Linked DNA regions of Diceros bicornis minor. The protein of the gene in region 2 purifies or fractionates together with the protein of the main gene of each other region. This does not show direct contact. Links are inferred from orthologs where the notes say so. Each region holds a gene or a part of one and is shown on either strand. Other genes may lie near its edges.

Region 1 (16,400 bases), on a different chromosome or scaffold from region 2:
AATGGTAGGATGTGAGGTTGGGATAGGAGGATCCAAATTACTTAGGGCTTTTTAAGACATGATATTTTATTCTAAGAGCAATTTAAGCCATGAGAGGTTTTTAAACAAGGGAATGACATAATCTGATTAAGGTTTTTTTCTTTTTTTAAAAATCAGTGTGGAAATTACATAGTGGATCATTTTTTTAAATTGGTTAATAACAGACAAATTAAAGAACTCTGGGGCCAGCCCCGTGGCTTAGCGGTTAAGTGCGCACGCTCCGCTGCTGGCGGCCCGGGTTCGGATCCTGGGCGGGCGTGCACCCACGCACCACTTCTCCGGCCATGCTGAGGCCGCGTCCCACATACAGCAACTAGAAGGATGTGCAGCTATGACATACAACTATCTACTGGGGTTTGGGGAAAAAAAGGCGGAGGATTGGCAATAGATGTTAGCTCAGAGCCAGTCTTCCTCAGCAAAAAGAGGAGGATTAGCATGGATATTAGCTCAGGGCTGATCTTCCCCACAAAAAAAAAAAAAAAGAACTCTGTTCTACTATGTATACTATATATATGTGCATTCTAAAGCTGTTAGCATTTAATATTATTTACCTATATGACATATATTTCTCATTTTATAAAAATATTTTTGAATTAACAAAGATGTTGCTATTTTGGCTTAATGTTTATTAAAACCACAACAGATTTGTGGCAGAAATGTACTCATTGGATTAGTGTTCCAGGACATTCCTTTGCTCAGTATACCTCATGAAAAGTGATAAATAAAAAATGCATTGTATCTTTTTTTTGTTTTTGTTTCGTTGGTTCATTGATTTTGCAGAAATATACTTGCTGAACCAGTTCTTCTATTTCACATTTATCATATTAGACATTAATAATTTCAATTGAATCTAAGAGCTGTGTTTTTATACAGTGTAAAAGTAGGAGTTGTAAACTCAAAACTGTTACAAGCACTGGCAAGTAATTGTGTGAATCAAACCTAGTACAAGACCATAGAGAGAGGCTGGGCCTGTGGCCAAGCTGGAGACCATATGCTGCACCTAAATACATTCAAATTCAACATTTTTGAGAACCTCTGGCTGGTCAAGCAAAACATATCTGCAGGCTCAATTGGCCCACAGACCACAAATTTGGAGTCCCTTGTCCAAAGACATTTAACGCTTCTACAGGACAGAACTTTGATAAAATTGACATGGGGGTTGGAGGGTAGGTATGTAATTCTAGAGATTTCAACAATGTAGTTTCTCTGTTTCTTAAAATAGATGAGGTTCTTTTTCTCTGAATGATGACTGATAAGCATAAAAAGATGAAGTCACTTTGGATACAGGCTTACCTAAAGGTAGGAAATATATTCTATAATAGGCAATGGTTGTCTTCACCCTCATAGAGCCAGGTTTGTGTCTGCCAATGTGTTAGGTCCTTGTTTATGTTGCTATACTATTGAACATGTTAACAAGTGTGATATTTGGGATATAGAATATGATTTTATGAATTAGTGCATCAAGAAAGCCCTACATAGGTCTTTCTATCATATTATTAACTCAAATATACAATTTTTAATGTGGCTGTTTTGAATGTTTATTACAGTGAACCTTTAAGATAAAGGAAATTGGGGATTGAGTTACAGCAGATGTATCTTTTTCTGTGGACTCTCTGGGGATAAATACATAAGTAGATTCCTAAATAGGTACAGGTTGCTTCATATTCACTCCAGGCAGCAAGGAGAGGTAGTAAGGCAATCAGTCAAAGGCTGACAGGTACATCGAAGTGTCCCACAGACTTTTGCACTAAAATTATTGAAGAATATTACTAATGTAATCAGACAGAATTCTGATTAAAACAGTTAATTAAATAAAGAGACAAAATAATTTTGGGAAAACTACTAGTTTCATTTCTTGATGCCCAAGAGATTATCCATTCTACTTTTGTGAGAGATGACAAATAATTAATCAAGCAGATAAGACTTTTTTAAATGACCAACCTTGTGACACAAATGAGATTGATTTCAAATGTCTGCAGATTTTATACATACTGAATCATACAAAATCGATTATGGTTGAGAATTGTTGTATATTTTATTCTAACTCCTTGATAATTAGTGACCTATCTTTGGGACATAAATCAACTCCTGGTTATAAAGAGTTGTCATTAACTAGGACATCTAGTTTGTTTTTCTAGGTAAAGACTTTGGTATTTTTATGTACAGTATTTAATAAGCCCCAGGTTTGTTATTTTTGACAATACTACCCCAATGTCACTTTTAATACAATACCTTCCCTTTACTGACACAAGCTTTATACTGTGGTAGAAAAATATCAAGAAAAAACATGCTAGTTAACATCTCATGAGAAAGGTAATTTGTAATATGAATATTTGTGAAGCTGAATTTTCAACCAAGGGAGTAAACTTTTGTTTCAGGGTGCATGAAAGCAAATGAAAATATTAAAAGAGCTGGTTAAGATCTGAAATATACATATATATGAAATATATTAGCATTTTATATACCGATATCATAATAGTCATACTATTAACATTAATTATATTATTTTAAATATATTAATTTCCTTAAAATCAATTAGGTCTTCACTATAGAGCATTCTTGATAAGGGACTGATGAGAAAAGCAAACTCCAACCAGAAGTGTGTCTAGAGATTAGCTGAAGATATACAGCAGTGAGAGGTTGACATATTCTTTTGTGAGAAGACTGTGAAATATAACTGATAATTCAGTTTCTCTGCCACAGTAGGTTGTTGCACATAATTATCCTTAGCCCTCATCAGACCTAAGAGATAGGCCTGACACACCATAGGAGATCAGGTTCTGTGTGCTTAGTTAATGTCCCATCACAGCATGGAAAAGCAAGAAGCTTTGCAAGCTGTGATTACATTAAGGTTCTCTTTTTAATGCTTTTCTGCCATTAGAATTCTGAAAAGTGTGGCTGAGAAGTCATACGTGATCTCACTTGCATTAGCTTCCCTTCACCTGCGATTCACACTGGCTTATGTCTTATCAAATACCCCAAAATCAGAAGTCCTGGGACATCAGCAGACATTAAAACACATTTTGATATTAATCAGTACTATAAGAGGGGAAGGGCTAATGGGCAGGCACTAATTAAAGCTCAACATTTCATATTCCCAACAAGAGGAATAAGCACTCAAGAGGCATTTGCGAATCAGTATTTCACCCCAGTATCTTCAGCTACTGTTATTATGAATGAATCTGTGATTTCATTTGTAGTCTACCGGTATTTGGGAAAATGCAGGATGCCAGGGGCTATAACCAACAATTACAGTAAAACACATAAGATTCTGATGGTAGCAGACATGTGTTGCTTGTATTCTTCACTATCAAATGAAATAAGGCTCTATATTCTACATCAACAGCTGGGACAGTCAGACAGTAAATTGGAAGTGAGGAGAGAGAACCTATTTTATTAAGTTTACCAGAGTAAAGGAGATTGCTTCTATTATTTATTTCTAATTTATTTTCTAATGCAAATATTTGGTATAACTCATTTGTTCTGTGTGGAATCTAAATCCTTTGGGGAGAAACTTATGAGCTTTTAGTGGAATTTTTTTTTCTCCTTAAGACTCTGATAGAATGTTTTGTCCTGTGATTTCTGCTATAGGGAATACAGAAGTGAGTAAGACAGTCCATGTTCAGAGTTCTTGATCTATTAAAAGTGGGAGTGGGGGGTAGCACGTAAAATAGTGCATTGCAATATAACAAACTCTGTTGGTAATAAAGATACCTGTAAGTAGGTGTTCCTGGGATACAGAGAAGAGTTCTCTGTGGGGAACATAAAGAAAAGAAGCCTAAGTATCCACCAAGATGTTGCTACTGATACCAACCATAGAATAACACATCTTTATAGTTATTTCAGTTGTGGAATTATACATATAATGAATCTAAGAAAGGGATTTCCATCCATACCTGCAATTTCTTTAGTTTTGCTTTTTTCATTTAAAAGAAAAAAGTATTCAGGCCCCATGGGGCTCTCAAGAATAGATAACTTTTGAATAATGCATTCATTAAAAATAAACATCAGATATTAAAGTCAGCCTTAATTGTACATTTTATTTAGTCTGCATTAAACAATGCACGGATCTTACTACAACCAAGAGCATAACATTTAATAGTTTTCAGTTAAAGCCCTTCAGTGAAAGCTTTGGGATAAAACAACTATAATTTCAAAGGAATCAAGCCAACTCGGTGAATTACTATTGCCTGGAACTATCACACATAAAGGAGAGTCATCCCCTCCAATACAGGGGAAGCATACAGAAAACAGGAGAAAGTTAACAGTATCAACAACAGTAAAAAGAGGAGTAAAACAGGTAGCAGGAAACAACAGCATAGGGATAAAAACTTTGTAAAAAATGAATTACCCATTTAAGATGTAAAAACTTTGCAAGGGGAAAATAATTCAATTTCCAAGTCTCAGCTCTCTCATTAAATGATATTTTTTCCTCTTAACTAGATATTGGTTTTTCTTCTCCAGAGTAAGATCATCTGGTTATTTGTGTGTTTATGGTTCTGTTAATTACTAGTTGGTCTATGACACAAATTTTTGTGTCTATATCCTCAAGGCTTAAAAATAAATTAGGTAGTAGCTCTAAAGAAAATGTGATAGCCCGACCTTCCTACTGATTTTTAAATGTCTCATGGGTATATATATTAGGACTCAATAACTTTATTACTTGTAAAAAGTAAAGTGAGTAATAACCAACTGAGCAGGGAATTAAGGCTACAAGAATATCTCTACCTACCTGGGCCTCAATTATTCTGATAAGATGGTGATAGATAGGTAGATTTTGAAATAAGAAAACTAAAAGGCATGTTAAATGTTGCTCAGATTAAGATTTTTAACTCCTGATTCTGGTTGACCAGATGGATACCATCTGTATATGGAAGCTAGTAACCAGCAAACTGAGAGCTCTAATGCATGAAGCCTTCCACTATTTATGAAAAGCCCAATGCTGTGTATAACTCATCCAGATCAACTGGTCCCTAGATGCTGATGTTTGGGAAGGGTGTGAGAGAATTACTCAGATTCACATTTAGGGCTTAAAGACTACTGAGAAATGGGAAGATAGTGCGAGAGATATTGACTCTCATCAGAGAAGACTTAAGTAACCCGGTTGATCCTAGAACTGTCCCAGCAAAATCATCCTGCTCAGGGCAAGGCCTGAATATTGCTGGTCCCTGAAGGGTGAGATAAATAAAACATCACATCACACCAGATGCATTCCTTGATTTTTCAGGTAGCACAGCTTTAGAAAAAAAAAATTCCAATACCACAAGCTAGACTTATCCTGTTAGCTCTAATGTTTCAAAAGAATTCCAAAACACTAAAACGATGCTTCAACTAATACGTTCTATCACCCCCAAAACAGGATTTTGTATTTTAAATGGCTTACCAAAAAATATATCTTAAAATTTTGTGGTCAATTTCTTTATTTTCTTATACAAACAAAAACCTTAAACTATCTTATTAGTACATTACCATTTTAATAGGTCATCTCTTAGTCTTTATGTGCAGTTTTCACATCATTTTACTCAGTATTTTTAAAAATGTAGTTAACATATTGTAGACATTTTTAATATTGCTGAATATTCTTTGTAATCCTATTTGGTATAATATAATCATGTTCAGAGTTATTTTTGTACATTTACAATGAATTGAACAGACCCACCCCTTCCTCCCCCTACCCCCCCAATTAAAAATAAAAAGGAAAACAGAAAAAAAGAAAAAGACAACAAGAAGAAATAAGATTAGGTTCTGGGAGGAGAGAAACTCTAATCATTCAAGTGTGGGGATGCAGAAGTCAGCTTTCTGCACCCATTCTCCATTACAAAAAAACTTTCTGGGACTACTGCTAAATATTTTCTAAAACTTTTCAAGAAGCTCCCGTAGATTTCTGGATCTGTTCCTTTAAAATCAGGATGCTCTGCCTTTGCTCAGGAGGCAGCATGGCAATCTGATCTGCAGTCAGTTGAAGAACCTGCATGATCAAAGCTGCCTTTTCCTGATCCTGGGGAGTTACTTGGCTCTGCCCAGGACTAAAACTGCTAGGCTGGCCTCCACCTTGCTTGCCTGCCCCCTGCATGCCTGTTCCTTGTACGCCCGCCCCCTGCATGCCTACTCCTTGTATGCCTGCTCCCTGCATGCCTGTTCCTTGTATGCCCGCTCCCTGCATGCCTGTCCCTTGTATGCCCGCTCCCTGCATGCCTGCTCCTTGTATGCCTGCCCCCTGCATGCCAGCTCCAGGATTTCCCACCCCTGAAATGCTTGGGACCTGTCTGGGTCCCTGAGGACCACCTGCCCCCATATTAATGGGTCCAGGACCCTGGATTCCACCAGTCATAGGGCCTCTCGAACTAGGACCAGGGCCCCTTATCTCCATTCCTCTTGCATCCATGCCTCTTGCTTCCATTCCTCTGGTTTCCATTGCACAGGTCTCCATTCCTCTTCTCTCCATTACTCGTGTCTCCAAGACCTCAGTTTCCATGGCTCGAGTCTCCATCCCTCGAGAATCTCTACTACCTCTGCCATCCATAGGTAGGCCCCTTTGATCTATCATAGGTCCTCTGGGCTCTCCAATTAGCAGTCTGGGATCTGCTAATGGCCCTCCCCTCATCTCATGTGAAGAAGGGCCACGGTTGTCATGACCAGAGGCATGGTGCATAGGGGGACCCTGATGAGGTGGACCAAGATAGCCTCTGGGCTCTACTTCTCCAGTGACTGAAAGCAAAGTCCCTCCACGTGGGTCATTGGGAGCATCTCCTAACAGTCCTCGAGGAGGCAGGCCACCAGCAGTCATGGGTCCACGAGGCATAGGCGCTCTAGGATCCGACATCTGCACCTGTCCTCGCTCTAAAGGCACCGGACCAACCCCTGGCATTCCAACTTGGGGCTGCATTGCTCCACCAGGAGTTAAGGAACCGGGACCAGGTCCAGGAACCCCGGCTGGTATTGGCCCCGGGGCTGGAATTCCACCCTGGATCGGGGTCTGCATCAGAGGAGGGATGTCTTTCACAGGTCTTCTAGCCAGATGCTGAGGCTGAGGGGCTGGAGGATTCTGCTGGTTGAGCAGAACATTAGGGCCTGGGCATAGCCCAGGACCCGGGCCAGGGCCGGAGACAGACTGAGATTTGCCTGGGATGAGTGGTGTGACATGTATCTTGCGATGCAGAATTTTCAGAGCAATCTCTGGATCCATGATTCTCATCACTACTTGTGCCTGCAACAGTGCATAAGCCAGCTGTGGGTTTTGAAGTAACATGTTTCGAGCTTCCTGGTGGCTGTTTTGGACACAGAGCTTCATCTGCTTCATCAGCTCAAACATCTGCTCCGGGGGGAGACTAGCAACTGCTCTGGTAATTGATTCTGGGGCATCTTCTGGATCGATGGGATCCCCATAGGGTGAGTCAATGATGGGCGCTGCAGGCCCTAGGCTCTTTAACTCCTCCTTGTTCTTCTCACTGGCAGCATTGTCCACCCGAAGCGCTCTCCCGCTGAACTCCCGCCCGTTCAGGTTCCGCATGGCACTAAGCGCGGTTTCCTGGTCTTGATACTCGCAGAAGCCATAACCCTTGGGTTTTCCGGTCTCTCTATCGTACACCAGCCGGAAACTGACAACAGAACCAACCTCTGAGAAAATGTCCTTTAACTGCTCCTCAGTTGCCTCATACGGAATGTTCCCCACGAACACGGAACGCAGTGATCGATCCATTGCTGGGTCTCTCACCGCCAAGCTCGACATGATTCCGGTTGTGCAGACACGGCGGAGAACGGATTCTTCCCAGAGTCGTCCTCTTGCGACCCACACTTCCGCTGAGCAACGGAAGCAGCTTTTAAACTCCGGGCAGAAACCTCAGTAGTCGGCTTGAGTCGTTCCGCGAAATCTGCGCCTCTTTGTTCCACTAACTTAATTAGCTAATGCTTTTTGCCCTTGATCGTTTGTGGTTCTGTCAGCTCCTTCTTACCCAGACGCAGGATTCCTTTCTCGTCTCTTAATCCGCAGACTTTCCATGGCGCGCCACCACCCCCGCCAGGAAAAGCCCGGTGCGCCTTGACCCCAGTAAAGATGGCCGCATAGACTTCACCATGGTAACCAGCAGAGGCGGCCTCCTTTGACGTCAAGGGCGGCTTTGTTTCGGTTTGCCGGCGGGAAACCGCCAACCGAAAGCTAAGGCGGTGTGTTCTTCGTTCTGCTGGAAGGGTTTTCGTATAGCAGTGTCTCCTTATATTTAAGCTATATTTAAAATCACATTCTAGACCAAGAGGGGAAAGTGTAGTCGTTTCAAAACAGATTTGGGATTTGCTCCTGAAAATACAAAAGTAATCGCTCCGTTTTAGAAAAACATTTTTGGAAAATACCTGCCCCGAAATACACGCCGCGCAAATGAGCCTGCTCCATCCATCCCCCCCCCCCCCATCTGGTTGCTTCGGATAACCGCTGTTTGATAGGCGACGGGACCGGCCGGGTTTTCCTCTGTGCATCCAGGCAGCAGTCGAGCTATTCATAGTATTACCCTTTTTTCCCTTAATTATATTAAGTGGTTAATAATAAATAGCATTTAAAGACTGCAGAGCGTGAATTAAATGAATTTATTCTTATACTGGAGGCATTTAGATTGGTTCTGATTATTATAAACTGAGGCAATGATCTCACACCTCTACTATGAAGGGAAAAACAAACTGTAGTTGTTTCTAGTCTGTTAGTTTTGCCGGCAGAAGTTGAAACATATGTGGAGCCTAGGTTTTTTCCTCCGTTTAACAGACGATAGAACTGAAACTTGGGGAGACCTAGGTAATTTGCTAAGCAGCCAGTAAACGGCAAAGCCAGAATTCTTATGCCGGTTGGTCTGTTGTAGCTCCAGAGCTGCGCTGCTGCATGTGGCAGCCGCCAGCCACTTGTAGCTATTGGGTACTTGAAATGTGGCTAGTGTGATTAAGAAATTGAACTTTTAATTTTATTTAATTTTTATTAATTTAAATATAAAAACTGATTCAGTTAGGCTAATGGAAAACTTTTTAGGATGTTTGGGTATGGAATCTACTTTTGCAATGATAAATTTTATTAAATCAAAATAAAAATCAAGTATTTACAGTTAAAATTTAGCATTCTGATTGGGATGTGCTATACGTGTAAAATACATGCAAGATTTTGAAGACTTAGGTATAAAAAAAGTTAAAATATGTCTAATTTTGTATTGTTTACATGTTGAAATGATATTTTTAATATATTGGATTAAACAAAATATATTTTAACATTAATATCACTCATTTCACTTTACTTTTTTTAATGTAGTTACTTAGAAAAATTAAAATTATATATATGTATTGCATTATATGTTTATGAACTGCACTGTTCTAGAGTCTGTCTTACCTCTTAATTCTACATATGCCCTTTGAGGAGCTTATGAAACTTTGTTTCATCAAAAAATTGTGTTATGTTCTTGGGTGTCATAGTCCAATGAATAGATCTGAAATGATGGGTTTAGCTACAATTTAGACAAAACATCCATTTACCTTCAAGTGTTTTAATAATTCTTTAAAACAGGCTTGGACATAGCTATTTACTCAAGGTGCATGATAATTTATATCTGCAAGTAATAAAGTGTATTTATATGACCTAATAAAATCTTCCTGGTACGTGAAAGAAACAGAATAGCCACTTGCTAGTAATGGTTTTTCCCTCCTGATTCTTTTATTGGAGGTGGGGCAGGGGTGGAGAGAAGTTGAGGATGGTATTATTTTGGAAAACTAAAAACAAGTCCATTTGTCTAAAAACAAGTCCGTTTGTCTCCTTTCCGTACTATCCCTTTGCAGAGAGAAGCCATGACTTTTCTACACACAATCTGTCAAGGACAACTTAGACATCGGTCATGTGTGTAATTGTGTGTGTATTAAGTGTAGTAATCTTAAGGATAATAAGAGGCTATTAGAATAAGTTGTAAAGTTCATGATAGGTTGCACAGCTTATTTGACAGAGTTTCTTTGCTGGTGCTGATAGTATCTAAACAAGTGGTCCTCACACTTCAGCATGTATCAGAACCACCTGGAGCCTGGTTTGTTAAGTCAGATTGCTGGGCCTCACCACTGCCCCGCCTCAGTTCTGATTCAGTGTTTCTAGGGTGGGACTGGAGAATTTGCATTTCTAACGAGTTCTCAGGTGATGCTGATGCTGCTGGTTTGGGGACCCCCACTTTAAGAATCATTGATCTAAACGAAAGGACTTGAAGTAGTTTTGTTTTGTTTTGTTTTCGGTTTATGTCAGGCCAACGTAAATTTAGTACACTGTTAAAAGGTATGAGATATGAGTGGTCTTTAAAAAATCTATTAATATTTTAATGCTGATCCAGTATAGCTAGTACATGCTGATCCCACACTGAAGATACTCTGGGCACAAAGGATGCGTGAACAGAGTAGCTGAGGAACTCTGGGGATGAACAAGAAGGGAGAAGGCATCACTGTAAGAGTGTGATTTTTGTCACAGGCCTTCCATGTTCTGTTTAGTCCCCCTATTCAAAACCAGAAGAATGGTTTAATATGGCCCTTCAGAGAGGACCATTGTGACCCAGCACATAGCTCAATGCCCAGGATGCATAAGCTAATATTTATTAGTAACTGAGTGGCCCAGAATTACCAAGAGCTGTTAGGAACCTGTGCACGTTTCCTGGTACCAATACATACTTTTCATAGATCTACCTTGGAAGAACTTTCATTTTATACTGCTTTCTTTGTTCCCAGGATGTTTAAACTTTAGATTTTTATAGCATGGCATATACTTTGAAGAAAAATGTACATGGCATCTTGCATGTTCAAACATTGATTCTTTCAATAAATCAAAATATCAACTGTACTAAGAATGATTTTTAAACAAACACATCAGAGCATATGGCCAAGTGGGAGCTGTTCTTCAAACTAACCACCTTCAGAAAGTATAAACATAATCCATAAGGCTTCCATTGTTCAAGTGAACTCCTACCCTGAAATTGTTTTAGGGCTCCATTTGAAAGTCATACTAGAAAACTGCTGCCTTAACTCAAAGGTATACCTTGTTTTCAACCAAGAGTTATGCAACTAAATCACCTAACTTTCTGACCAGACTTGGCAAAAATATGATATTTAGCTATTTCCAAACATCAAAACTTATATCAGAATACAAAGATTCTGTAGACTTGCAGGTATTAAAAAAGATTCACCATAGATTAATTAGACAAATTCCAAAACGAGGTACTAAAAATATTTTTAGTTATGACAGGCATTTTTGAAATAAGTGTATGGGTCCTTCAAAGAATAGATCAAATACACTCCCCGATGAAGTTCTCTCTAATCTTACTCCTTCTTCCTCTAGGTTGAAAGTGAGTTCATTTTCCTTTGGATATAAACCATTCCTTATCCATACCTTTCTGATGATAGTAACTCTTCTACTTTTTAGTAGAATTATGATTTTTCCTTCTAAACTATGACATCATTCAAGGAAAGAGCTAGATTTCCCTTTGTCAATTAACAAAGTGACATATTTATTCTCTTCCATAAATATTTATTGTAAGCACTGGCAATACTGCAGTGAAAAAGATAAACATTCCACTAGAACATAGATTCTGTAAGTGTTCAGTAACATGAACATCACCTAGAAACATCTTAGAGATGCAAAAGTTCCGGCACCACTCCAAACCTACTGCATCAGAAACTCTTGGTGTGCGTGTATGTGTGTGTACAGAAATCTGTGGGTTTTTTTTTTTGTGTGTGTGTGTGTGTGTGTGTGTGTGAGGAAGCTTAGCCCTGAGCTAACATCTGTTGCCAATCCTCCTCTTTTTGCTGAAGAAGATTGGTGCCGGCTAATATCTGTGCCCATCTTCTTCTACTTTATATGTGGGACTCCTGCCAAGCATAGTTTGATAAGTGGTGTGTAGGTCCACACTTGGGATCTGAACCTGTGAACCTTGGGCTGCCAAAGCAAAGTATGGGAACTTAACCACTAGTCCACCGGGCCGGTCCCCAGAAATCTGTGGTTCAACAAGCTCCCCAGGTGATTCTAATGCAGGCTAAAGTTTGAGAACCACTGAACTAAAGGGAGACAATTATAGATAGGTAGGTAGGTAGATAGATAGATACATAGATACATTGTCTTCTTCTCCACTGTATCCTCAGCACCTAGGATAGAGCTTAGCACAGGTGGGTGCTCATTGTATGTTGAATGAATGATGGGAGGTGACCTTCGAGTTAGCTAAGTCACAAATTCTTCATTTTACGCAAGAGGAAACCTGTAGCATTAAAAGCATGCCCAAAATCAGAATAGGGGCCTGCTGTCAAGACCCTTGTCATTTTATTCCTAGGTCAGTGATAGTTCTTTCATGTTACTGTTTGATAAAGTAGATATGTAATGAAGTATGTAGAGATTGAAGAGAGTGATAAGGTCTAGATCATCAAGGAAGGCTTCCTAATGGAGCTGGGATTTAAGGGATGGGTTATAATCTGGTATGTATAAACAAAAGATGAAGAGACTAAGCCAGGAGCTAGGAATAGCCAAGACATGAAATTGAAACCTAGTGTTTTTGATGCCCCCAGAGGAAACCAATAGAGAGTTCGTGAGTAGTGTGATAAAAGATTGTCTTTTGGGACAGATTACAAAAGGTTTTGAAGATCAGATTCATGAATCTAAACTTGATGTGAGAGTCAGTAGGCTTTCTTCCATCTTTCTGAATCATGAACATAGAATAAAAATGGCAGAGGTTTAAGAATACCAATTTTATCCAGTCCTTCTCCATGATATCTTTTGCACTTGGACTATCCTTTTTACATCATTATAATTTTTTAATCTAATGTAGCAGTGGCTCTTCCTGTATTTAACATCTTCTATAACATGGCTTCATTCTCATTACTCACTTGCCGCCTTCATATATTCTCCTCTGGCTAAATTGTACCCCTCATTTTTCACCACACATGATCTGTGCTTTTCCACCTTCTAGCTTTTGCTCCTAGCTTTTGATCTACTATTCCTTCTTTGAGGATGTCTTCTTTTCCGTCTTTCTCTCCTCATCTCTCCATGTCTAAATCCTTCTTGTCCTTCAGTTCTCACCCTAAAGACTTTCTTTTTAAAGTAGAGTATTGATTTGGCACCCATTATTTTCTATATTGTAATAGAGGTGCTAGTATTCTTGTGTTACCACTTAAGCACAGACCCATATCTGATTTATTTTGTTCATATTGCTTAGCCCAGTGCCTTTTATATTCCAAGCACTCAGTAAATATTTTTAAAATTAATACAAAATCATCTTGTAATAACAGATTACATGTTAACAAAATGATAATTTAATGCTTTCAGCTTACAGAACACTTTTCTTTGGGCTCCCACATCTGATCTTGACAACAATCATGTGAGGTATATACAGTTGTATTCTGATTTTAAAGATGTTTTAACAGAGAACTGTTACCTAGAACTTTAACAATGGACTCACTCAAAATACAGATACTATTCATAAAAGCTAACTCTGATCACTTAATAGGAAGGAGTTCCTCTGATAAGTGCTTTATAAAATACAATATTTTATTTAATCCTTTCAACAACCCTTCTGAGATAGGCAGTCATAGTGTCTGAATTTATAACTAAAGAAACAGAGGCACAGAGAGGTTAACAGAGTGCCCATCATAACTGGCAGAGCCAGGTTTTGAACATACATCATTTGACTCAAGAACTCAAGCTCTTGAATTATTATTCCATTAAATGAGTTTATCAAGGAGACATAGCTAGTCAGTGGCAGAGCTACAGCCTGAAATTAGTTCTCTTGATTTTAAACCTCCTACTTCATAATTAGTGTGGTATTGAGGCCTGAACACAATCTCCCTTGGCCTTTTTACTGATTGTCTCTGAGTGTAACTAATTGCAATTTTGACATCACAATCAGTGCTGTGGCAACAGATGGACTATAAGGTCTAAAGACTAAAGCGAGGGAGAAAATGTTTCCTTTTGCAATTTGCATGGCTGTAGTTAAACATCACTTAAGGATTTTTAAAAATATCTAGTTAAATGGATACAAATACGTTTTCCATAAAATGAAAGAGCCCAGATTTCTCAAACCCCAAATTAGGTTGGTCTGTGACATTTTCTCCCAATTTTTAAATATATTTATTATGAAACAATGTACAGAGGAAGAAATAGTAAATTTCATTACTTATACATGAGATGAATCACTTTTATTGGCAAGAGGAAGATTACATGAATTTGGGACTGCTGGGAATATGCCATTCCAGGGCTGGAGGTTGGACAGAACCAAATGTTCTCCTTGGAAGCGATTGTGTTGTACAACCTCGTTTTTTTAATATATGAAGAAAATAAAGTCTAGGGAAGACAAGGGACTCAATCAGGGTCAGATGCCTAGTTATTGGCCTAGCTTGTAATGGGATCTAGATCTTCAGACTTCCTCATCCAAACTATGCTCTCAGCACTTCTTAGGGGTAGTAGAGTGAAGAAGTTAAGAATATAGACTTTGAAGTCAGAGAGACTTGGGTTGGCTGCCTAGTTCAACAAGTAACTGTGTAGCCTTAGACAAATTACTTAACCTCTCTGTGCTTCCATTTCTGCATCAATTAAGTGGGAACAATATCACTTGTATTGGATTGTTGCATGGAATACATAACGTATTTGTTTTTATTGTTATTTTGTATGGTAATTATTAGTCTACACTTGTTATATAGAATTAATAGTAGCAGATGAAGCAGCATCTTAAGTGGAAAGAGACCCAAATTTTAGTCTAATGCTATTTATTTTTGAGTCTGTATCTCCATTTTTATCTTTGAAGGGGTTGAGCTGGGTGAACTAATGATCTGTCGTCAGATTATATTATTTTAAAAATTGTATCGAGACAACCTTGGATAACATTGTCATTTTAATTTGTAGTAGATTTGTAGTTGAACATGGATAATTTTTAGGCTTAATCCTCTAGAACACTTCAATGAGAATTTTACTGATCATTTTTGATGCTCACTAGGTTCTTATACTAAACCATGAAATGCACTCTTCAAATATTTAGTTGGCTGAAATTCCACTCATTCATTTTTATGAAAAGGGCCTGTGTGACCTTTGACTGTGGAGGATTGAGGCTTACACAACCCTGCATTGGTCTGGCACACAGGATACCTATTTGAGCATATAGCCATGTTCAGGATGTCATTAGGACTACTACTTTGGAGCGTGCACTGGCAGACATAAGCCATTTATTCAAACATGGAAAAGCATAACTAATTGGACAAGAAGCAGAGCTCCCTATTCTTGCCTCAGGCTGTCACCTGAAAGAACACAGAGGAAGGAAGTGTCCTCATAAACTGTGGAAAGTACAAGCCCTGAAACCGGGTCCTGAGTAAAGACATCCTGTTCAAGATGAACAACTTGTGAATCTTTCTTTCTGTGACCAGAACAATCTAACCTCCAACCTCAGAGGAATGTCTGAACTGCCGTTCACTTCAGAAGTTAGACTGGTATCTCCCTTCTGAGGCTTGATTGACCTCTAGAACGATCCTGTATTTATACCAAGTTACAGGAAAGAGGCCTTCCTGAAATACTTGCTTGAGGGCTCAGATTGTTAAAAACAACAACAACAACAACCAGTGTGACAGAATGTATTTTGGATTCATTATCACATTTGAATGATCCTTGAAAAACATTACTTCAGAGTGCCAGTTCAAATTTGCCATCACACAATTAGATTCCTCAGGATCAGAAATTAGATAAAAATGTAAAATCCAATGTTTATAGCAACACAGTAGCTAGCACTTCTTGGACCGAGTACAGAAACCAACTCCAACCATGTTAAGTGAAAGGGGGTGGTGGTGGTAGTATTTAATGATACTCTGTTATCTCTCAGAACCCACAGGCAGTGTATTATTAGTCTGCTCAGGCTTCCACAACAAAATACGACAGATTGGATGGCTTAAACAACTGAAATTTATGTTCTCACAGTTCTGGAGGCTGGAAGCCTAAGATCAAGGTGCTGGCATGTTTGCTTTCTCCAAAGGCCTCTCTCTTGGGCTTGCAGATGGCCATCTTCTTGCTGTGTCCTCATGTGGCCTTTCCTTTCTGTGTGTGAATCCCTGGCATCTCTTCTACTTCTTATAAAGACACCAGTCATATTGGATTAGGGCCCCACCCTTATTAAGGCCCCTCCCTTATGACCTCATTTAACCTTAATTATCTCTTTTAAAGGCCCTATTTCCAAATAAGTCACATTAGAGGTTAGGGCTTCAACATATGAATTGGTGGGGGTAGGGGTGGGTGGGGGTGGTGGAGGCCGCAATTCGGTCCATAACATGCAGTAATACAGTCATCCAGAAAAGAAGGAATGGGCAATTGTAACTCCTTCAGGATGCTCTATTCCTGTTCTGTATCT
Region 2 (17,044 bases):
TCACTACTTTTCCTTTCTATTGCCAAATAATATTCTGTTATTGTATGGATATCCCACATTTATACATCAGTTGATGGACATTTGGATCATTTCCAGTTTTTGAGTGGAGCTCATTTTGTGTTTTCTCTTAGGTACATATCTAGAAGTGAAATTGCTAGGTCATATGGTAATTCTATGTTTAACATTTTGAAGAACTGCCAGACTGTTTAACAAAGCGACTGAACCATTTTATTTTCCCATCAGCACTGTATGAGGGTTTCAATTTCTCTACATCCTCACCAACACTACTTATTATCTGTCTTTTTGATGATTATAACCATCCCAGCGGGTGTGAAGTGGTATCACATTGTGGTTTTGACCCACATTTCCCTGATGGCTAATGAAACTGAGCATTTTTCATGTTCTTATTGGCCATTTATCCATCTTTGGAGAAATATCTATACAGATTCCTTGCCCATTTTTAGTTGGGTTATTTTTTCATTACTGAATTGCAATAGTCCTTTATATACTATAGATACAAGTCCCATATCAAATGTATGATTTACAAAAATTTTCTCCCATTCAGGGGGTTGTCTTTTCACTTTTCATGTTTAACCTTTTTTTTTTTTTTTTTGGTGAGGAAGATCAGCCCTGAGCTAACATCAGTGCTAATCCTCCTCTTTTTGCTGAGGAAGACCAGCTCTGAGCTAACCTCTATTGCCAATCCTCCTCCTTTTTTTTTTCCCCAAAGCCCCAGTAGACAGTTGTATGTCATAGTTGCACATCCTTCTAGTTGCTGCATGTGGGACGCGGCCTTTGCATGGCCGGAGAAGCGGTGCGCAGGTGCACGCCCGGGATCCGAACCCCGGGCCGCCAGTAGCGGAGCACGCACACTTAACCACTAAGCCATGGGGCTGGCCCCCATGTTGGTTTTTTTTTGTGAGATCAGCCCTGTGCTAACATCTGCCCATCCCCCCCCCTTTTTTTTTTGCTGAGGAAGACTGGCGCTGGGCTAACATCCACGCCCATCTTCCTCCATTTTATATGGGACGCCGCCACAGCATGGCTTGCCAAGCAGTGCATCGGTGTGTGCCCGGGATCCGAACTGGCGAATCCCGGGCCGCCACAGCAGAGTGCGCACACTTAACCACTTGCACCACCGGGACAGCCCTGGCCCCCATGTTTAACCTTTTGTTTGTAATGTGAAGCTAATTCAGAAATAGAACTAATGGCCTCACAGGCAGCATGCACTAGTTCAACGGTTCTCAAACTTTTTGTAAAGAATCGCTCTGCACTCTTAAAAACTAAGGAACCAAAGAGATTTTCTAAAAATGTGGGTTATATCTATCAACATTATCACATTAGAAATTAACACAAAAAATTTAAAAGTATTTGCTAATTCATTTTAAAATAATAAACTCCTTAATTTTATTTAAAAATATTTTCCAAAACAAATAAATAGTGAAAACAATGGCACTGTTTTACATTTTTGTGATCTCTTTAGTGTCTGGCTGAATAGAAGATATTATCTGCTTCTGCTTTCCATCTACTGCAATATATTGTTTTGGATGAAGTATATAACCACATAAGTACAGTTATATAGCTGGAAAAGGGAGAAGTATTTTTAATAGCCTTTTCATACAATTGTGGACATGTCATGTAGCCTCTGCAAAACTCTCTATTAGTTAAGCTTTACTAAAACTGCAAATCAACTTTCTTTCTATATGGCATCTTAATTTACAATAGGGACTTGTTAACTGGGGGAGGAGGGTGGAGAAGTGACAGACACTATTCTATTAATGATTGAAAGAATAAAATAAAATAATCTAATTTCCTCTTCCCATTCTCACCAGGGAAGTAAAACTTGGACAGGAAAAAAAAGGTAGTTCTCTTTCTTCAAATAGCTGTCTATTTTTGTAGTAAATGGGGAGGGTGTTATGCTAGAGGTCATACCGAAATTAAGTTAAAATAAAGATCAGTGAGGGCCGGCCCCGTGGCCTAGCGGTTAAGTGCGCACGCTCTGCTGCTGGCGGCCCGGGTTGGGATCCCGGGCGCTCACCGAGGCACCGCTTCTCTGGCCATGCTGAGGCCGCGTCCCACATACAGCAACTAGAAGGATGTGCAACTATGACATACAACTATATACTGAGGCTTTGGGGGGGGAAAAAATAAATAAATAAATAAATAAAATCTTAAAAAAAATAAAGATCAGTGAAAATTTAATCCAAGTGATAAATGTCCAAAGTGGGGAGGGAGGTGGCAAGTTAAAGGACTTAAACCTAAATAAGCTCTTGACCATGACCACCAGAACAAACAGAGATGCGTCTCAAATCTGGTTTTGTAATGAGTGTTTTCCACTATTAAGGGTAATGACTATCTAATTACAGTAGGGGGAGGAAAATCAGTAAAATAAGCCTAACCATCCTCAAATAATCTGCATTTTTTTTCCTCCACTTATTTTATCAAGGAGGTATTCAAAAACAACTTTTAAGATCCAAGTATCTTCAACCCCTAACTAAGTGGTTTGCAAGTTTTCGTTTATATAAAAATCACCTGTGGTACTTGTTTCCAGTGAAGATTCTCAGCCCCACTCTCAGAATCGGATACAGTCTGTCTGAAATTAAGGTGCAGGCACCTATACTTTTATAAAACACCTATGTGACTATGATGCAATAGACATGAACACCATCTTGAGAAACACTACGTAATCTATCTGTTCCATAAACACATTTTTTTTAAATGTTATGTTTCCTTAAAAATAAAGTGGCATCAGACCTAAGTCATTCCAAGTCTTCTATTTTTTTGCTAAAACATTAAGAAAATTGCATATACTATACCATACACTTGAAGTCTTAAGTTTCTCTTGGTAGTCAACCTTTTTCAAAATTAAAAAGCAGGGCAGCACTCTGCAGAAATATCTGCAAGTAGTAACTGAGCCAATTCACACGCCTAGAGAATAAAGCATTTTATGTGACAGGTGTCACATTAGGACTGGATGCCAGCTTAGTCCTGGGTTCCTTTACCAGTGCAACAGAACTCTACTAGATGTTTTATTGTGAATGAATTTAAATACGTATCCTGAAATATAAAGCAATAACCTCTTCAACCTTTCCAAAGACTAAAAATCTACTGAACATGCAAACAATTCAAAAACTTAAAAAAGTAAAAATAGGCCAAAGGTTATTGGTTCAAGTAATTATACTTATCATATTTGCTTATTAAATTTGCTTATTCATCCCCTAGGAAATAAATAGCTACAAACTACAAATAAAAATCGATTAAGATTTTTGAATTTGAAAAATAGGACTTCTTTAGACCAAGAGTAGCCAAGATACTAATTCACTAGATAAATTAAGTGAAACGTTGGAAAACATCCATTAGGACATAGTTTTGCCCTTCTGGTTTTTTTTTTAAATAATTTTATTTATTTATTTATTTTCCCCCCAAAGCCCCAGTAGATAGTTGTACGCCATAGTTGCACATCCTTGTAGTTGCTGTATGTGGGCCGCGGCCTCAGCATGGCGGGAGAAGCGGTGCATCGGTGCGCGCCCGGGATCCGAACCCCGGGCCGCCAGTAGCGGAGTGCGCGCACTCAACCGCTAAGCCACAGGGCCGGCCCTAATGGATAGTTTTTAATCAGTAAATATTGAGTAAAACCAGAAGGGCAAGAGCCGGCCCCGTGGCTTAGCGGTTGAGTGCGCGCACTCCGCTACTGGCGGCCCGGGGTTCGGATCCCGGGCGCGCACCGATGCACCGCTTCTCCCGCCATGCTGAGGCCGCGGCCCACATACAGCAACTACAAGGATGTGCAACTATGGCGTACAACTATCTACTGGGGCTTTGGGGGGAAAATAAATAAATAAATAAAATTATTTAAAAAAAAAAAACTATCCATTAATCTAAAAACTCTAAATATTTGCCCAACTCAAATCCCTTTTCAGATCAATTCTCAGACCATTATCAATTGTCCGGCAAAACAAAACAAAAAGACTCAAATTCACAGCTAGATCTTGTCTAAAGAAAAACAAAGATTTAGAGACAATGGCAGAAAAGCTTAAAACTATGAATTGTTTTTGGCAACTGTCCACTTAATAGGTACAAACATGAATACAGATTTTGTCATTCTGGAAGGTCTATCCAGGATGTAAACTCCTGTACTCCCTGAAACTCCTGTATTCCTGATGCTAAAGGAAGGCAATCTCTCCTAACAGTACCTTTCTGTGTACCTCTAAGGAAAAACAATACTTTTGTAAACAAAGATCAATCTCTTTTAGGAACAATTATTGCCAAAAGAGCACATTCCATACAGTCCACTTTTCTCAAGAAATATTAACAATAGGGGCAGGCCCCATGGCCTAATGGTGTGCTCTGCTTCAGCGGCCCAGGTTCTAGGGTTCAGATCCCAGGCACAGACTTACACCACTCGTCAGCCATGCTGTGGCAGCGACCCACATACAAAATAGAGGAAGACTGGTACATACTTTAGCTCAGGGCGAATCTTCCTCAAGCAAAGAAAAAAAAAAAAAAGGAAATATTAACAATAAAGATCAAATGAAATTTGCCTGCCCAAAACTGGTATACTAAATATCACATAAAATGGGAGAGGGAAAAGTAAGAAAGGCTATTACAGAAAGATTTTGTTAAAAACAGATAAAATAATGGGGCCCAAAGAACGCATCATCTAACATACATACTTGGCCCTTTCCCTCCCTCTTCCTAACCCACACACACATCCACTCAGGCTTTAAAACTGTTTGGCGCTGCTCTTAACCCTTAACAGCTAGTAAGTACTCATGGTAACCCAACAAAATAAACCAGGTTTCAAGTTTCAACACTGTGAGTGTTTCATCTTTCTTTCCTCATTAATAAGTACACAAAAGAACACCTATTTTTGGGGATTTGCTTCTAAGTAATAGGGGTGGGGAGAGCAAGCGAAAGCATGGAAAAAACAAGATTAACCATGAGTTGAAGCTCTACTTTTTTGCATGTTTGAAACATATCAAAAAGTTGAAGAAAAGATTATATGAAGATGACTCTCTGTCGGTAATCAGATGTTCAAAAATATCTTTTTAGATCGATGGAAAAAAGATCCAGGAGCCATCATAAAGGTTAGGATAAGTTGAGCATCCAAAAGAAAAATGGCTATAGGTGATTTTAACATACTATTAAATACAAGAAACTCTTGAGACCACAGTGATAATCTTTAAAAAGGAGGGACGGGGGGGACAGGAAATTCCTTCTTTACAGAGAAATATGAGCCAGTAAACAGAGACAGAATAACAGAATTTTTTTCCCCCTTTTTCTCCCCAAAGCCCCAGTGGATAGTTGTTATGTCATAGGTGCACATCCTTCCAGCTACTGTACGTGGGAAGCGGCCTCAGCATGGCCGGTGAAGCAGTGCGTCGGTGTGCGCCCGGGATCCAAACCCGGGCCCCAAACCCGGGCCCCAAACCCGGGCCGCCAGCAGCGGAGGGCGCGCACCTAACCACTAAGCCACCGGGCCGGCCCCCAGAATTTTTAAAAAACTACCATTTCCCACCTCCAATGTAACAACTGATTTATTCAATGATTATCAATTGATGATAAATAACTAGGTAAAAGGTTATTGAGGAACATAGTATCAACCCACAGATTACTAACTGCAAAAGGGGAAATAACCCTTTACAATGAAGAGATCCACAGTCATTACCCTAACCAAGTGATCAAACTTAATCATCACTAAATAGTGGAACAACCTAGCATGAAGTGCCTTTGGATGTAACGTTATAAAGTATTCTATCCAAAAATATTTAACCCAAATATTATCAAAGTTCTGAGTTTACACCTAAACATAAAGTTTTCAGGAAATACAGAAGATGAAGGGACAAGTTAAATGACACCACACACACAAAAATCAAATAAACCCAGAAAATGAAAAGTCCTACAAGAAAACTGTCCCGGATTCTTCAACCAGACATTATCCTAGGGGAGACAAAAACAGAGGAAATATTCAAGAGTCATAACCAAATGATGTAATGTGAACCCAGATTAAATTCTGATTTAAAAAAAAAACAAAAACTGTATGAATCACTTGGGACAATTGGGGAAATTTGAATATGGACTTGATTTTATAAATGATACGGTATTACTATTAATTTTTTTAGGTGGGAAAATGGTATTACGGTTACATAGAACGGCATTAATGTCCTTATATAAGAGAATGCTGAAACGTGTCCACTGACTTTCAAATAAATATGTACAGAGAGAGAAAGCAAATATAGCAAAACGTTTAATAGTTGTTGATTCTAAGTGAAGAACTGTACTGTAGGTGTTCACTGCACTCTTTCTCAACTTTTTTCTATGTTCTAAACTTCGCAAAATAAAACTTTTGGATGAAATTTTTTTCTCTTAAGTTTTCACCACCAGCTCTCCCATTTAAAACACCACAATTGTGAACTATTCCAGGTCATAGCAACATTTCAGTGTCATTACAATTTTAGATAAATTTAAGAATTAACAATGGATTCCAAAAACTTTCAATGAAACCTCAGTACATTACTCCTCCTCAACTTTCAGATGACAAAATATGAGCCCAGAAAAACAGAAAGGGTAGTTATATATAAACAGATTTGATATAATTTTAAGATTTGGCATTTTTGGCTATTCTAACAGCATGTGAAATGTAAACACTGCGAAGATTTCAGAACTGAAATCAATCGACAAGCAAACACAAAATTCAGTTTAGCCAAACTTTCTCGACATAATGCAATTTACAGTCACCCAGACTACTCGACGGGAATGCTCGAATTTTGCCTCGTCTCTGTCAACCTCCAAGAACAGCCTCCACGTTATAAGCTGGGGACTTGAAAAACGAAAACCTAAGTGTATTTCGTTGCTATGGCAAAGGGAAATTTCAAGAAATTGAGACTCCGCAGGCTAGCCAGCCTCCATTTTAAAAATTATTTACCTAAACATACCAGGACTTACATCGATAAACAAATTGAATGACATCTTTTAAAACATCAGCTTCCTCTTTCAAACTAAGAGATAAATACTATCCTACAAAATTCTGAATAAAGAACAAAAGAACTTGTTTATCTAAAAATCTGAATTTCAAAATATTTAAGCGTCACTTATATGCAATACTAAAACAGCTGCTTTTCTTTACAACTTATTCTCACTTTCGATGTATCAAATTCTGCAATATTTGTATCGCTGGAAAAACGAAAATGAAATGTGGATAGAGAAAGAAGAAAGCGGGAGAACGCCACAAAATTCCCAAATCTCAGCATAACCATGCTCTACTCCCAAACTTCCTTCTGCATTCGCTCTTGCAAGAATCTATTTCTCCAATTAGTCTCATCTTAATTTCTTCAACTAGTAACCTATTTCTGGGTACAGTATATACAGCAGAGGGGACGGAGGGAATATTGTTGAGTTTTTCGAAAACAGCGGGTACACGTTAAAATAATCAATTCCTAACGTCAAAACGGTATCAAAGGCAGGCATCCCATCGGAGTAGTGCCACGAATTTAAACGGCAGGAAGCGGCTTCCCGGCTATTGTCTAAGTCAAGTATTTGTTCATATGAGCGCCTAAGACAGAAAAGCCAAAAAATAATTTTAAATCTCGGTCAGATCTTGCTCCCATTCCCACCACCCCTCTGCACGCGGTCCTGCGGGTTCATTAGACCCGCGACTCCTTCCTCGGGCGAACATGGCTGGAGTACTCGGACCAACTGAGACGTGGAGAGAAGAGGTCGCCACGAGGCCCCACCACTCTCCTTCCTCACCTGTTCCGTGGCTCCGTCTGCTGACATGGCCTCAGCTGATTAAAAGGTGCGAACTGGCCCGCGATGCGAAGCTAGAAAAGAAAAATTAAACTAAAACCCACCCCCAAACCAGTCAAGTTACCCCCTGCCCAGCGGAGCCAGACCGCCAACACGAAACGCCACCGCCCACTCAGATATGAATTAAAATGGCTGCGCCCCTGCCGGCCGAGAAGGGAGGTGTGGCTTCTGCATTCACTTCCGGGGCAGCGGGCGGAGCTGAGAGCACAGCTGACCGGTCACTCGGGCGCGCAGAAGCAGAGAGGTCCCAGGGGCGGGCCCAAGGTCTGTGCTGACGTCACGGCCCTGGGGGGAAAAGGCTGCTGCGGCGCTGGCTGCCACCGGCGGGGAGGCGGGAAGCCGTTCCGCCTGGAGGCTCGCGCGCCTTTGGAATGGAATCGTCGAGCTGTGGGGAATCTACGCCGCTGTAGCCTGACTGCCAGTCAGTTCAGTTCAGGCAGATGGCCACTTGGGGGGAATGCCGTGTGAAATGACTCCAATATTTTGGAGATGAATCCATCGAGGTTTTCTATGGTCTCGGCTAATGCTTTTTACCCTTTTGGGGGATGAGAGGGACAGATCAAACCGTATTAACATACACCGTTACCACCTGCTATTGTGTCTGAGGCTGTGAAGACAGGCAGGCCGCGTTTTAGGCTCAGCGTCGCACCGTGGTTCCTCGTCGGCAAGGTGGGGATCATAGCGCTCAGGCTCCGGAGCTGCGTTGTCTGTGCTGCCTGCGGCGCACTAGAGGGCTGACCTCCTCACTAGCGGGGTGACTTCGGGCGACTGAAATTCCCCAAGCCTCAGTTTCCTGGCCTACGATAGGAATAACAGTAGTACTTGCAATTTAGGTAAGTTACACAGGAGAAAGTGCTCGAAACAGTACCTGGCGTAGTTTGAGATTACGTGAGAGCAAGTCTCAAATTCTTTCATTCGAGGCTCAGCATGCGATGTCTCCTTCCACCCTCCTTCCCCACAGGGGCCTACGCCCCAGACCAAGTCAGCTTCTCAGCTTTCCCCATACATGCCTTAACTCTGCTCAGTCGCCCCGCCTCTGCACATCTTTTCACCTCCGCTCTTTCCACAGCCTGAATTCTTACCCTTCCGAGTAATCAGACACAGGCAAAAGAGGTATGTTAACATGTTTATCACACCATCCAACAATACAGGACTAGTTAAATGTATCTCTATAATGGAATGGCATGCAGCCAGTCAGCTGATGCTGATACACAGTTACTGACAGAAAAAACATCCATCATATTGTTAAGTGAAAAAGCAGAAAACGAAAACAGTGTATATTAAATAGGATGTGTAGTATAAATATGTAGTATACACACAGTAGTTCAAAACATGAAAAGTAGTTATCTCTAGATTGTCACAATTTTTCTCTTTTTATCTGCTTCTGAGTTTGTCTATGATGAACTAATGGAAGAACAACAGTCCTGAAGAATAGTATTCAGGGTTCCGCCCGGGGGCGCAGTGGGTAAGTTCACGCGCTCTGCGCGGTGGCCCGGGGTTCCCTGGTTCCGTTCCCCCGTGCGCACGGGCGCACCGCTTGTCAAGACGTACTCTGGCGGCTAAAGGAGAGGACGATGGGAACGGATGTTAGCCCAGGGCCCATCTTCCTCAGCAAAAAGAGGAGCATTGGCGTCAGATGTTAGCTCATGGCCAAGCTTCCTCACACAAACAAAAAGAAGAATAGTATTCACATTCCATTCTTCAAAGTTTGACTCAAATGCCATCTTTCCGCAATATTTTTAATGAAAAACTTAGATAAAAATTCAAAGAATAATGCAATAGATACCTGTACTGTATCCCCACCATCTTGATCTACTGACTAACATCTTGGCATGTTTGCTGTATATGTATGTATTTATAGATATAGTTTGTGTTTTTGCAAAATAATTTGAAAGTAAATTATAGACATAATGATACTTTATCCCAAAATAATTCAGTTTGTTTTTTCTGAAATGAGGACACTCTTCGTATCTACAGTACCATTATAGCACCTAAAAAAATTAATAAGTATTTCCTAATATATACTATTCAGTCCATATTCAAATTTTCCCAGGTATCCCAAAAGTGTCTTTATAGGAAGTTTTCACAAATCAGGATCCAATCAAGTTTCAAGCATTGCATTTCGTTGTTATATCTCTTCAGTCTCTTTTATTCTAGAAATAGTCCACTCATCTTTTTATCTTTTATGAATTTTTTGAGAGAGCTGGCCAGTTGTCTCTAAGAATATTCCATCTTCTGGAGTGATTAGATTCAGGTTAAACATTTTGGCAAGAATATGTCATAGGTATAGCTATGAACTTCGTTTTGTATGACATCAGGAGATACATCAAATTACTGATTGATGCTAAGTTTGATCACTTGTTTAAGGTGGTGACCATCAGATCTCTCCATTAGGTACAGTTCACTTTTTGTAGTTAACAAGTAATTGCAGAGTAAGACTTTGGCGTGGTGTCCATTTCCTGTTCCCCTGCAAATTTTCACCAGGGTTTGGTCGTCTATTGATTAATCTTTCCTGAATTAATAATGAAATATTTGGTGATTAAATAAAAATGTTCTAATTCCATTATTCCTTCTATATCAATAGAAAGCTCTTTTGTGAAAAAGTCTTCTTCCTCATTAACCTTTAAAAAACAGGGTAAATGCTTAATTTTTTCCCTTTAATGACCAATTTTTGAAGTAAAGAGTTCAATTTAATATTAAACTTCAAGCTTTAATATTAAGCTTCAAGTAGTGAAAAATGAATTTTTTTTTCTGGCTTTCTCTTTTTGAGTATCATTGTGGATTTATGAGTTTTTTAAGACGTAAGTTGTTTCAATCAATTGCAATCATTATTCTTTTGGGGCCAATACGAGTCCCTTCGTACAGGGTGAGTGGATCCTATGTCTTTTTGACATGATGCCATTAGTCTTGGACAACTTCTTGGCCTAGTGGTACAGGATGTCCCAGGCCCACTTATGTACTTTCCCTGTCACAGACTTGGACTCAGTCTCAGGCATCCTGGTTCCTTCAGTTTCGGAATAGTAATTAGACTCAAGATGTGGGCAGTAGATGTTCTCTTTGCCACTGGATGTCATTGCTTCTAGGCTTTTTCAGTGCTCAGAGATAGGAAATGTATTTTTTAAATTATGAGTTCGTATATTGATTTCCAATTCAAATTTAACATTTTTTTCTTTATTGATTTTACATTTGTATCTCTTTTCTCTTATGCTGAAAATCTTGGTTCCTACAAAATATATTTAAAAGTTTCTAAGTTAAAATACCAATACTAAAATATCAATATATCAATAACACTGGGCCGGCCCCCGTGGCTTAGCGGTTAAGTGCGTGCGCTCCGCTACTGGCGGCCCGGGTTGGGATCCCGGGCGCGCACCGACACACTGCTTCTCTGGCCATGCTGAGGCCGCGTCCCACATGCAGCAACTAGAAGGATGTGCAGCTGTGACACACAACTATCTACCGGGGCTTTGGGGGAAAAAAAAAAAACAGAAGGAGGAGGATTGGCAATAGATGTTAGCTCAGGGCTGATCTTCCTCACACACACACAAAAAAATCAATAACAATACATTTGCTGAGTGAGGTTTAAGATTTCTTTAAAGTTCTTTTTGTCCTTAGATTATGTTACATTAAGGATGTTCAGTCAGAATGCCTTGTACAAAAGTCACTTGAAATAATTCTTCTCTCTCGGAGTTTACCGGAGCAATTTGATATATAGTTAAGTTCAACTCTTTCCATTTGTTTTCAATTTTAATGTTGGCTTTTTTAGATGTAATTTTATTTTTAAATCTGAAAACCCCGTTATTTGGCTCAAGAATCAAAACTATGTAAAGAGGTATTCTCAGAGAAGTTTTCACGTCAGTCTCTATCCCCTCCACCCACTCAAACCCATTCCCATCCTCTATAGGTAACCATTTTTATTAGTTTTCAGTTTAATGTTTCTAGTGTTTCTTTTTGTGAAAATAAGCAATGCATATATTTCGCCTTATTTCTTTCACAAAAGGTACACTATTGTACACCTTTTTTACTTAGTTTATTGTGGATGTCACTCCCTACCAGTAAAGTAGGGAATGAAATAATGAAAATAAAGATTTTCTTCCATCTTTTTTTTTTAACATTTGCATCGTACTTCACTGTGTGTTAATTTTATTTATTTATTTATTTTTTCCCCCAAAGCCCCAGTAGATAGTTGTATGTCATAGCTGCACATCCTTCTAGTTGCTGTATGTGGGACGCAGCCTCAGCATGGCCGGAGAAGCCATGCGTCGGTGCGCTCCCGGGATCCGAACCCGGGCCGCCAGCAGCGGGGCGTGCACACTTAACCGCTAAGCCACCGGGCTGGTCCCAGTACTTCACTGTATGGATGTCCATAAGCTTACCCAAGCCTACTAATGGATGTCTGTGTTGTTTCCAATCTTTTGCTATACAAATAATGCTTCAGCAAATAATCTTGTGCATATGTTGTTTTACATTTATGGATATGTATCTTCAGGGTACATTCCTAAAAGTGGGATTGCTGAGTCAAAGGGTAAATAGACATGTATTTTATTAGATCTTACCAAACTCTCTTCCATGGGAATTGTGCTATTTTGCACTCCCAAAATCAGTGTAGTTATTTTTCCCACAGCTTCTTCAGCAGTGTGTTGTCAAACTTGGATTTTTGCCAGTCTGATAGGTAAGTCGTGGTATCTCAGTATAGTTTTATTCACATTCCTTTTATTATAAGTGAAACTATGATCTTTTCATACATATTAGGGTCATTTTCTTTTACTCTGAACTGTCTGTTCATGTCTTTTTGCCCATTTTTCTGTTTATTTTTGGTCTTCACTGTCTTGTTTTTTAAGAGTGCTCTCTATATTATAGAGATTAACTCTTTGAGTGTTATATAGGTTGCAAATATTTCATTCCTATTTCTCATTTATCTTTTAATTGTGCTTATGGCCTTTGGGGGTGAGGGACAGGTGGTTGGTTTCTCTTTCTTTTTGTCATGTAAAAAAATTTTTTTTGTTATGTAGTAAAATTTAGCTCTTTTATCACTCTGGATTTTGAGACCAAGATGGAATGGCTTTCTCCATTCCCAGGTAATAAATTCATTCATGATTTTAGTACTATTTCAGTAGTTTCATTTTTTCCATGTAGATAGGGTTGCCAGCACTGGCAAATAAAAACACAGCACAACCAGTTAAATTTGAATTTCATATGAACAACAAATAATTTTTTATATAAGTATGTTGCAATGGGCAAATGTAGGCAACTCTGCATTTTAATTGGCAACCCTACATTTGGATCTATGATCCATTTAGAGTTTATTCTGGTGTATAATAGCCAGTATGATTCCAATTTTATCTTCTTCCAAATGCAAATTTTATTTTCAAAAAGTAATTTTTAATGAAAGAGTAGTTTAAAATAAATTATGACAATATGACATTTTGCCCCTGAATGCTATATTTTGCATCTTTTAAAAATTAAGAGGGGCTGGGCCGGTGGCACAAGCGGTTAAGTGCGCGCACTCCGCTGTGGCGGCCCGGGGTTCGCCAGTTCGGATCCCAGGTGCGCACCGACGTACTGCTTGGCAAGCCATGCTGTGGCGGCGTCCCATATAAAGCGGAGGAACATGGGCATGGATGTTAGCCCAGGGCCAGTCTTCCCTGGCAAAAAAAAAGAGGAGGATTGGCAGATATTAAGGCTGATCTCCTCACAAAAAAAAAAAAAAATTAAGAACATTTTCCTACCTGGCCAACATAAGCCTCCCACATCTAGTTAGATTAATAATTCCTTAACATCACTAACATCCAGTACATATTCAAATTTTTCCAATTGTCCCAAAATTTCCTTCACACCTGGTTTGCTTAAACCAAGAGTCAATCCAGAACCATACGTTGTGTTTGGTTTTTCTGTTCTTTATGTCTCTTTTAATCTAGGACAGTTCCTTTTTTCACAACGCCGATTTGTTTGTTTTTGTTTTTGTTTTTTTTGTAAGGAAGATAAGTCCTGAGCTAACATCCGATGCTAATCCGCCTCTTTTTTGCTGAGGAAGATTGGCCCTCGGCTAACATCCATGCCCATCCTCCTCTACTTTATATGGGACACTGCCACAGCATGGCTTGACAGGTGGTGCGTCAGTGTGCGCCCGGGATCCAAACCTGCCAATCCTGGGCTACTGAAGCGAGCGTGCGTACTTAACCACTGCACCACCTGGCTGGCCCCCCACAACACTGATTTGTTGAAGACAACAAGCCAGTTGTCTTTTAGAATATTACACTTTATGGATTTGTCTCATTGTTTCCTCATGATGTCCTCCCATGAGTTTCCTGGAAAGGCACGATTAGATTCTATTACACAAGATAAAACTTAATAGTAGATTAGGATGGAGACAGTCTGATTCCAACATTTGTATTGTTATATTATTTTCATCTTGCAACTAGAAAGTAATCTGTATGATGTTCTTTGGAACCACAAACATGTTAAGTTCCTCGTCAATTATTCACCTAACCGTTCTTATACCAACTGATAATCTTTGACTTGCTAATTTAATTAGAGGTTATTTTATTATCATTTTCTGATTATATAATTGCTTTTACATTTAATTACTAACATTCTTTCGAAAAGTTTTCCCTTATGAACAGGGCTATTTAGTTTATTAGAAAGCAGGTTAAAGGCTTAATTTTCCTCCTTTAATTATCAAATTTTAAGTAAGAAAGTGAATTAATAATACATGCTTCAGATGGTGACAAATTAATTTTTCCTGGATTTTTCTTTTTTGGGTATCATTTTGGAATTCACAGACTTTCGTAAATCCAATGTGTTTCAATAAACTACAAGTAAGAGAGTGTGTTGTCCTAGAAGCCGTGTGAAGAAAGTTTATCAGGGAAAAGGAAGTGATCAGCTGTGTCAATACAGCTGCTAGGTCAAGGAAGATGAAGACTGAGCATTGACCACTGGACTTAGCAGTATAAAGGTTACTGGTGACCTTGACTACAGCAGTTTTGAAGGTGTTATGGTGGCAAGTACCTGATGGAGTGGGTTTAAGAAAGCTTGAGAGGAGGGGAATTAGAAAGCAAGTTTTTGAAGAGATTTTCCTGCAAAATCAAGAAAAGGGAGAGGGAGACAGTAGCTACTAGGACAGTGCAGTCAGGAGAAATGTTTATTTTTTTATAGATAGCTTTCAGTAAGTAGCCAGAATTCGTTGGGGAAAGAAAAGGTTCATTCTCTGTTTCTTGCTTTGTTGGTACATTCTGCCTGGTGAAGGACAGCAGCCCATAAGAATTTGTTTTAATCTCTTTCTGAGCAGTCTCATTCGGCTGGCCCCTGTAGACTCTGCTCCTGTCCACCTTATTTTCTTTGTCCTCACTGCCACTCCATTAGTGACCACTTCCCCTTCTTTTATAGCCCAGCCAAAGCATATTTCTTCCAGACACTTCTTTTTTGACATATAACATTGTATTAGTTTTAGGTGTACAACTTGATGATTTGGTATATGTATATATCACAAAATGATTACCACATAAGTCTAGTTAACATTCATCAGTACACAAAAGTTACAGTTTTTTTTCTTGTGATGAGAACTTGTAAGATCTGCTGTCTTAGCATCTTTCAAATATACAATACAGTATTGTTAACTATAGTCAGCTGTACATTACATCTCCAGAATTTATTTGTCTTATAACTGGAATGATACAGTAGCAAGTAAAACATCAGAGATAAAAGGGAGAGGTGCTGGAGTAAGATAGGCAAAGGAGCATGAATGTCATGCATATGGAGAAGGGACTGGCCTGAGATGGAAGTAGAAATAGTCCACAGACAGAAGAGTGGAGTGTGTGAGTGTTGGTGCCAGGACATGTCAGGTGTGTTGAGAAGAGTATTTGGAAGCTCCCTTGTGATTACTTCCATTTTCTCGTAGGAATCAAGGTCTTCCGCTGAGAAGAAGTTTGGGGTTGAGGACTTGGGGGTTGGAGGAGAGAGGGGAAGGTATGAAATGATAATTTGGGAGGGGTGGGGGTGAATTGACTAGGGACAGATAGTAAAATTGCAATCTATTGGTCTCGCTGAGATTTCTGGTCATGGATTTAAAGTGGCCCAGTCAGCTTGGTTGTGTTCACCAGCACAAGTACATGTGTGGATTAGGGGAAGAGAGCTGCATTTAACCAGGGGTGTGGTTTTGTCAAGTGAGCATGAGGAAGAAAAAGGGAGGAATGTGAGTAGAAAGTTTATGCAAGGGAGAGTTTATAACAATTGACCATGGAATTTAAGCTGGGTAAGGAGAGGAAATGGGACACCAAAGAGTGAGAGATAGTAGTATCATCAGATTTGAGGACCTATGGCAGCATCAAAGGATCTCTAGAAGGAATGAACTAAAAACATTGAAGGTGGTGATCAAAGAATGGATGCAGAAAAATGAGATCACAGAGGATCTATAGTTACTAATAATGACAAAATCTGGGGTATGACCATAGAAGTGAGTGGCTGAGGTAGGTTGGAGGACAAGATCACTGGAGGTGAGTTCAAGAAATTGAAAACTGTAGGTATTGGAAGGTTTGTCTAGGCATGAATTGAAATTAACAAGAATTAAGAAAAGAGCACTACTGATGAAAGAAACCACAAGCCAGGAACTAAAATCTTTGAGAAATGTAAAGAAAATATTTCCAAATATTAATGACAATGCTACTACTATCAATCACACTAATGAAAGAAGTCTAAAATTTCTCTATAGCAGAGGTTCTTAGATCTTTTGGTCTCAAGATCATTGTAAACTCTTAAAAATTATTGAGGACTATACAGAAATTAAAAGTGGTAAATTGTTAAAATATTTATTTATTTACAAATAAAAAAATGATAACAAGTTAATATAAATAAAATATGTTTATGAAAAATAACTATATTTTCCAAAACAAAGAAAATTAATGGGAAGAGTGACATTTTGCAAATCTCTTTAATATCTGGTCTAATAGAAAGCACTGGATTCTCAGGCTGCTTCTGCATCTGCTATGTTCACATGTCATGTAGCCTCTGGAAAACTCTGCTGCACACTCATGAGAGAATGAGAGTGAAAAATGACTTAAATATCCTTATGATATATATTGCTCTTGTGGACACCCTGAAAGATCTAGAGACTCCCATAGCAAGACACAGTACCTTCCAGGCCTTTCTTAATAAAAGCCCCACTCGTGCAGAGCTCACCTTCATTCTGAATTGTCTCAGCACACACCAGCCCTGATTTAATTAAAATGTTGTTGAGGGGGCCGGC

Evidence for each region.
Region 1: the proteins of CSTF3 (region 2) and CSTF2T purify together in Homo sapiens (co-immunoprecipitation; 4 studies listed by BioGRID and IntAct, counting the BioPlex papers as one, with this or other methods). This does not show direct contact. The link is inferred for Diceros bicornis minor from reciprocal best matches to the Homo sapiens genes CSTF3 and CSTF2T.

What each region holds. Positions count from the first base shown.
Region 1 is NC_080745.1:52,118,023-52,134,422, reverse strand, and holds CSTF2T (cleavage stimulation factor subunit 2 tau variant), read right to left. Parts: upstream 8,025-16,400; 5' UTR 7,769-8,024; coding exon 5,903-7,768; 3' UTR 4,060-5,902; downstream 1-4,059. UniProt on the Homo sapiens protein: May play a significant role in AAUAAA-independent mRNA polyadenylation in germ cells. Directly involved in the binding to pre-mRNAs.
Region 2 is NC_080770.1:35,099,717-35,116,760, reverse strand, and holds the start of CSTF3 (cleavage stimulation factor subunit 3), read right to left. Parts: upstream 7,891-17,044; 5' UTR 7,777-7,890; coding exon 7,750-7,776; intron 1-7,749. UniProt on the Homo sapiens protein: One of the multiple factors required for polyadenylation and 3'-end cleavage of mammalian pre-mRNAs.